2 linked regions of the Xenopus tropicalis genome follow. The protein of the gene in region 1 interacts with the protein of each later gene in a biochemical or structural test. Links are inferred from orthologs where the notes say so. Each region holds a gene or a part of one and is shown in the gene's direction. Other genes may lie near its edges.

Evidence for each region.
Region 2: the proteins of ect2 (region 1) and racgap1 form a complex in vitro, tested with the Homo sapiens proteins (3 studies listed by BioGRID and IntAct, with this or other methods). The link is inferred for Xenopus tropicalis from reciprocal best matches to the Homo sapiens genes ECT2 and RACGAP1.

Annotation. Positions count from the first base shown.
Region 1 is NC_030681.2:110,939,735-110,943,564, reverse strand, and holds part of ect2 (protein ECT2), read left to right. Parts: intron 1-40; coding exon 41-109; intron 110-380; coding exon 381-491; intron 492-1,378; coding exon 1,379-1,475; intron 1,476-2,116; coding exon 2,117-2,198; intron 2,199-2,487; coding exon 2,488-2,566; intron 2,567-2,838; coding exon 2,839-2,958; intron 2,959-3,830. UniProt on the Homo sapiens protein: Guanine nucleotide exchange factor (GEF) that catalyzes the exchange of GDP for GTP. Promotes guanine nucleotide exchange on the Rho family members of small GTPases, like RHOA, RHOC, RAC1 and CDC42.
Region 2 is NC_030678.2:148,514,280-148,518,109, reverse strand, and holds part of racgap1 (rac GTPase-activating protein 1), read left to right. Parts: coding exon 1-179; intron 180-698; coding exon 699-804; intron 805-883; coding exon 884-1,016; intron 1,017-1,096; coding exon 1,097-1,226; intron 1,227-3,159; coding exon 3,160-3,268; intron 3,269-3,361; coding exon 3,362-3,437; 3' UTR 3,438-3,830.

The DNA of each region.
Region 1 (3,830 bases):
ATCTTTAACCATTATTTATTTATTTATTTATTTTTTCTAGGGAGACCTGGAAAAACTTATGATTGACTGGGCCGAAAGTAAAAGTATTGGGGATATTATCCTCACCTATGTAAGTTTATTTGAAAATTAATTCTTTTTACAATGTTTTTGCTTACTGACCTTTTTACACTATGCTCAGTGTTTATAGGTTTTTGTCTTAAAAAAAAAAAAATATATATATCTGAATACTTAGTTTGTCAAATATTTTGTCAGATCCCCATATCAGAGTTACACTATAGGTGTATGCTGCATTTAAGTAAGTAGTAAGCTAGAATAGGCATCTTGCATCTTACACAGTTGTTTTGCTTAATGTGTTAAAGAAATACCTTTTGTGTCTTTAGTCTAAAGATCTGGTGAAAATATATCCACCTTTTGTCAACTTCTTTGAAATGAGCAAGGAAATGATTATAAAATGTGAAAAGCAGAAACCGAGATTTCACGCTTTTTTAAAGGTATGTGTGCATTTTATGCAAATGTTTTCTAAATCTTAAATTCTTGTGATGCTTTTAAAAAATGTCTAACACAAATGTCTCCACAAAGTTGAAAGCCCTCACAGCAAGATGGCAAATCAAAAAAAGTCAAAAATGTATTATTCCATGCTCGTATGTGCGCGTTTCCATCCACCAGGGACCTTCGTCAGGATGGTCGTTGTCCCTGGTGGATCGAAATGTGTTTTTAGTGTGATGGTTATCTAAGTGCATTAGCAATGAAAGTCAGTTCAGAATTTCTTGGGGCTAAAAGGAATTTTTATGTATGTTGTCCCCTGGGGAACGGTAAGCATAGTCTGATTGAAGAACAATCCATGGATTTTTACTTTATCCTTTTGCAGTGATTCAAGCCAAATCATGGATAAATAATAATTAGAAAGATTAATGCAGTATATGTTGCTTGGGGAAAATGTGTACCTTCTGCAATATGCACCCTACAAAATCATAATAAAGAGATGTAAGTAAACAGATGGGACAAGGCTGGGTGAATGGAGATCTCCTAAGAGTAGGCCAAAAGTGTCAGGTAATCGCATGAACTATTCATTAGTAGCATGAGTCAGTGACTGAATGGGTGGGAAGGTATTTAAGAGCCTCAAAATCCCTTGCTCTGTAACCTTCCTTGATTAGCACAAGAAGTTTTTGATCATTACAAAGGACCCCCCAATAAACTTGAGAGCGCTTCTTTTAAAAGTTCTCACCTCTTTCGCCCCACTACTTGTACTAAGTTTTGTTTTCTGAAATGCAAGTTTGATAACCCCATTGTTTGTTTTTTTTACAATTGAGAACACCATAACGTGACTTTATTCGTATTAAGTCTATAATAATAAGTATAACTGGTATTATGCTTCTAGATCAACCAGTCAAAGCCAGAATGTGGACGACAAACTTTAGTCGAGCTCCTTATCAGACCTGTTCAACGGTTACCAAGTGTTGCACTTCTTCTGAATGGTAAATTGATTATTCATCTGTTCTTATATTTTTATTACTAAAAAGGTACATAATTAGATTACCAATATTCACCTTGCAAGGACCAAACACAGGGGACCTTAATGGTACTGGCACACCAGGAGATTAGTCAACCATGTTAAATCTCAGCTATAGCTGCAACTGGTTTTCTGCGTATGCCTTTTAACCACCAATAAAGTAAATCGCCAGTGGGAAAAACACATGTGATGCTTCATTTTCGACCAAAGTTTCCTCAAGAGGCTACTTCAGAAAAACAAAGTGCTGTGTATGTTTTCCCACCGGCAAGTCAATTTATTGCTGGATGGAAAGCATTTCAGGGAGATTAGTTGCCCACAGTAGCAAAGATTTGTTGGGGGTGACTAAGCTGCCAGTGTGCCAGTACCCTAAATGTCCCTTTTCAGCTTAAGAACAACAAAAAACAGATTTTTTGTGACTAAAACAATAGGCTAAAAACCTATTCATTGCACTCATGTTGAACAAAAGAGTATATTGCCCCTTTAAGTACAAGTTTACATCTAAACTATTTGGCCAGTTTTCTGAAAAGATAATGTTTTGCATAGAATTGCTGGCGATTTGCTCTGTTCAGTCTTTGAAAGTAACTTGAAACTTTTCTGTTTTTGTAGATCTCAAAAAGCACACAGCAGATGATAACCCAGACAAAGTAATGTTGGAAAAAGCAATTGAATCATTAAAAGAAGTCATGATGTAAGTAAAAGCTTTAAGCGTTGGGCTCTGTGGGGCAGACCTGCAGATGCTGCTGCTCTTAGCTAGGAATTGTTTGTAAAAGCTTAGTTCCCCTTTCCTGAGAAGTGCTTGTGAAGTATCATGGGCATTGCATTTCTGCTCATTTAAAATGGATGTAAATGGACATGTCGACTGCTATGGTTCTCTGAGATCACGGTGGTCTAATGCTTGGGCTTCCATAAACCTGCCTGAATGTCATTTGGCAGCATTCTATGGTAACTGAATTCATTTAACTGTCCCTTATCTCCAGGCACATTAATGAAGATAAAAGGAAGACTGAAGGGCAAAAGCAGATTTTTGATGTCGTCTATGAAGTGGATGGATGTCCTGTAAGTATCAAAGTCTACATGCAGGGGTTAGAACTCATGATTCCAGGAGAACATAGTGTTTTTTTATAATCCATGTGTATTTTAGTGGTACCAAACCTCTTCCTAAATTGTGCTTAGTACAGGGCAAATCAGGCTATACCCATTAAATAGGATCCTTGTATATTATCTGTATGTTCATTTATCTGTGTGGCATTGTATCCTGGCCCATACATTTAGGGATAGACGCAGTACATATATTTTATAAGTTTTTTTTTTTTTTTTTTTTGTTCTAGGCAAATCTGTTATCTTCCCACCGAATTTTAGTGCAGCGTGTAGAAACAATTGCACTTGGTGAAGATCTTTGTGATCGAGGAGAACAAGTTACACTTTTCCTGTTTAATGATTGCCTTGAGGTAAAAAAAAATAAAAATCTTAAAATGAGTGTTATAGGGCATGTTGGAATGGAACATGCTGTGAACTTTATCTGCTGATTTTCAATGTGTTTTTTTTGTTTTGTTTTTAAATTAAATTGATGCCATAAGTGTTTTGTGCACTTTTATAGAAATATATACCTTTTTGTGTGTGTAAAAATTTACGACGGTAATAGTAAATAGAAGAGACACAACAAGCATTTTTTTCCCTGCAGGAAATAGTAAAGATTTATTACTTTTTCATATTAGGAAAGTGGGGAACATTTGCATTAAGTGCCTGTCTAAAATGCTCATTCATTGTACATATTTGTATTCCCTAACTTCATTTATATAACCAGAATTTTCTACACTAAAACGATTCAAACGTACTTAAATCACACTCTGACTTCCATTACCATACTAGAAGATGTACAGTCTCTCATTCATAGCTAAGCAAACACATGCCCATGCAAACACTTGTTCTCACTCAAGTTTAAGCGCTTACAAATGTAAATTCTCAATTACAGGTCCTTTTCAAAAAATTAGCATATTGTGATAAAGTTCATTATTTTCTGTAATGTACTGATAAACATTAGACTTTCATATATTTTAGATTCATTACACACAACTGAAGTAGTTCAAGCCTTTTCTTGTTTTAATATTGATGATTGTGGCATACAGCTCATGAAAACCCAAAATTCCTATCTCAAAAAATTAGCATATCATGAAAAGGTTCTCTAAACGAGCTATTAACCTAATCATCTGAATCAACAAATTAACTCTAAAAACCTGCAAAAGATTCCTGAGGCTTTTAAAAACTCCCAGCCTGGTTCATTACTCAAAACCGCAATCATGGGTAAGACTGCCAACCTGAC
Region 2 (3,830 bases), on another chromosome or scaffold:
TGGCTGCGACCGTACAGTGAAGGAACTTAAGGAAAAGTTCCTCAGAGGAAAGAGTGTTCCTCTTCTAAGTAAAGTGGATGATATTCATGCCGTGTGTGGATTCCTGAAGGACTTTCTGAGGAATCTCAAGGAGCCACTTCTCACTTTCCGGCTAAATAGAGTTTTCATGGAAGCAGCTGGTGAGTGGTTGTCTGACTTCTGTCCAAAGCAATTTTGTTGTCGTATAGTAGAGCATGCTTTATTAAACACAATGATCTCATTACAGGTATAGGAACTGTTATCCGGAAACCCATTATCCAGAAAGTTTAGAATTAAGGCTGTCTCCCATAGTCTATTTTAAACCAACAATTCTCATTTTTAGAAATTTCCATTTTTTTTTTTATGTAATAACAGTGCCTAAGACACATAATTAATCCTTATTGGAGGCAAAACAATCCTATTGGGTTTCTTTTATGTTTAAATGATTTTATAGAATTTCAGATATGGAGATACATATTAACGGAAGACCCCAGGTTTAGGGGTCCCATACCTGTACTTGTATTCACAATACATCACCTTGTTTTGCATGTAATAGGGCGATTGATAAACAATTCAACACTTTCAAGAGCATTCGAGAAGGGGCCTACCTTGCGCTTTCCAATAGCTCAGGACTCATTTCATATTATTGCACCTAAACTTCAATGTACATATTTTATCAGAAATTACAGATGAAAAGAGCAGCATTGCTGCTATTTACCAAGCTGTAGATGAGTTGCCAGCACCCAACAGAGACACGCTAGCTTACTTGATGATCCATCTTCAAAGGTGAGCGATACTGCAAATTCAGCCAGTTATTTTATGGGTGAATCCTAAAAGCATCATACTGAAATGTCACATTTTCCAGAGTGGCCCAGAGCCCAGACTGTAAGATGGATGTGAGCAATCTGTCCAAGGTATTTGGCCCAACTCTTGTTGGTCATGCAGTGCCAGATCCTGACCCCATGACAATTCTTCAAGATACAAGGCGACAACCTATGGTTAGTATTTTAAAACAGTGATTTATGAACTTTGTGTTTTGGGAATGTGATTTTAATGCAGTTTAACATTTTATTATTAGGTTGTTGAAAGGCTGATGCTATTACCTGCAGAATTCTGGAATCAGTTCATGATGGTAGAAAATATTGACCCCAATCACATTATTGAAAATGCCAATGTTTTTAACACTCCTCGGACTCCTGACGCCAGAGGTAAATATACACTACTTAATTTTGTATATTGATTACTCTTAAATTGTTTCTTGCAAATGTGACTTGTTTATAAGTGTAAAATAGCAGCTGTAAAACTGACAAATCAAAGTCTTGATTTAGGATTGTGTGTATAAAATATATACATGGAATTGGTTTCAGAAATTTATCCATAGTAGGTGTAAATTGTACAGTTAAAGGAAAACTGTATATTTATTAATGTGTTATTTAGATGAAGCAGGGTTTTACATATGAGCTTGTTTATGCAATATATTGTTATAGAGACTACCTTGGTTGGAGGTATAGTTCCTTTAAAGTAAAAATACTTCCCTTTTTGACGAGCTCATAGTTATGTAAGTGCAACACCTATCTAGTCCTCCAAAAAAAATATTAGTGTATTGTTTTACACAGACTTGTGATAACCACTTCCCAGCATCACTTTGGTTTACAGTTTTATGATGGATTCTGGGACTTAAAGTCCAACTGCTTTGCAGAGAATGTGTGCACAACCCACCATAAAAAGTAGAGTGACTTTGTTCCAGAATCCATTACTTAACAGTGGCGGTGGCTGGGGAAGTGGACCAGTCCATGCAGTACAGACAGATTATCATGGTTTCCTTTTAATCTGTGGAATTGAATATTCTGTGAGTTTAGGCTTTTGTAGAAAGGTACATAAACACTAACTGAATTGGCTCCCAAGAGGGGATTAAAACTGGAATGAAAAGTAGATGAATCCATTTTAAAGTTTTATATTTAGCTATAGACTACTGCTGTATATCAAGACATATATTTTGACTGCTTGGATTTTCACAGTCCCACTAGCCCCCCCACCCATTTGATACCCCTGTGGGGTATCATAGGCACTAAAAGGCTGCAGCCTTTGGGACTAGTTGAAAAGACATTCATGCAGTGGTTACAGGCCATGTGAAACACACATCTGGCAATGCTCTGGTACTAAATGGTACTATCTACAGCAGGTGGAAACTCCCTGGGTTTCCTCATAAGCCTATACAGAGATGCCACTAAATATATTCCCTGCTCTAAGCACCCCTGCTGGAGAATTTGGATTTTCCGCCTGTTAGAGCAATAACAGACTGTTCTGTTCTCCAAATGTTCTCAGAATGCCGATTGTTAAAAAAATATCCACTTTAATATATTTCTATTTAAATAAACCCAATATAATTGTTTTGCCACAATAAGGTATTATTAAATCTTAGTTGGGATCAATTATCTATAAAACCCTGCCCTGAAAGCTCAAAAACATGAAAGCCGTCTCTTAGTCTTAACTTTAATCAAGTAATTCAGATTTTCAAAATCTTTTCTATCCAGAAAACCACAGGTCCTGAACATTATGGATAACAGGTCCTATACCTGTACAAGGTTCTGTTTTATTATGACGGGGAAAAAGGAAATCACTCTTAAAAATTTAAATTTGATTATAATAGAATCTATGGAAGATGGCCTTTGCCATAATTTGGAGCATTCTGGATAATGGGTTTCCAGATAATGGAAACCTGTATAGGTTTGTTTTTTTTTTTTTTTTTTGTGGCTGCAACCAGACTTGTGTGGTCAGTCATATTTTAATTTAAGGATGGACGTCCTAGAACTTTCTTTTTAAGATGTAGCAAAGCTGTATCAAATCCCTTAGTCATGTGACTGTCCAGAACTGATGCAATACTAACTCCTCAGAGGATTGGTCCAGATCTAAATATTGGCTTTAGCACACCCCTAGCTCTAAATTGCTGATACGTTGGATTATAAGAGAAATTAAACATCTTTGTGCAAAATAATTATTTAGCATCTGCTGCAGTTTGACAGTGATTACATGTTGTCAGGGCACTGAAATTACTTTAAAATTCTGGAAAATTGTTAACTCTGCATTAAATTAAATGTGGACTTTGTATAATGTGTGTCATTTTTATCCCTCAAATTCCAGTCAGCATGTTAGGACCCCTTACCACTCCAGAGCAACAATTCAATAAAACTCCATCATCCAGCTCCCTTTCTCAGAGGATGAAATCCACAATTGGCAAAAACACACCAATGTGAGTAGTCACCATAATAGGTTGGTTTGAAGTTTCCTAAACTCTGATGTTACTGATGACTTAAATCTTTTTTTTTTTTTTTTTTTTTTTTAGGTTTGGAAGCAAAAGTAAATCCGTAAGCAGCATCCCCAGACAAGGAAACTTTTTCGCCTCCCCTCTGCTTAAATAAAAAGTCCGGAGGGTGCAAGTTATACACTACTCCTGGTGTCTACTAATCTACACTTGCTTTTAAACACTTTTAATGCATTTTACCGAAGGGATATATATATAAAACATTGTACTGTATTGCAAGTATGCTGCCAGCCATTAACAATTTTATAACTGCATTTTTATCATTTTAGTTGGCTGCTATAAAATCTTCATTGTAGAAAACTCATTTTAAGTTTTTAATTGTTGTAAATTGTTTTATCACAAGGTCTACATGTTTTGTTTTCCAATTATATTGGTGCGAGCAAGCACACAATACGGTTTGACATAAATCTCCTAAATCTTGAATTGTAGGACATTTTGGAAAAGTACCCTTATCCTTCTGTAAATATTTTTAGAAAAAAAAGAACAGTTA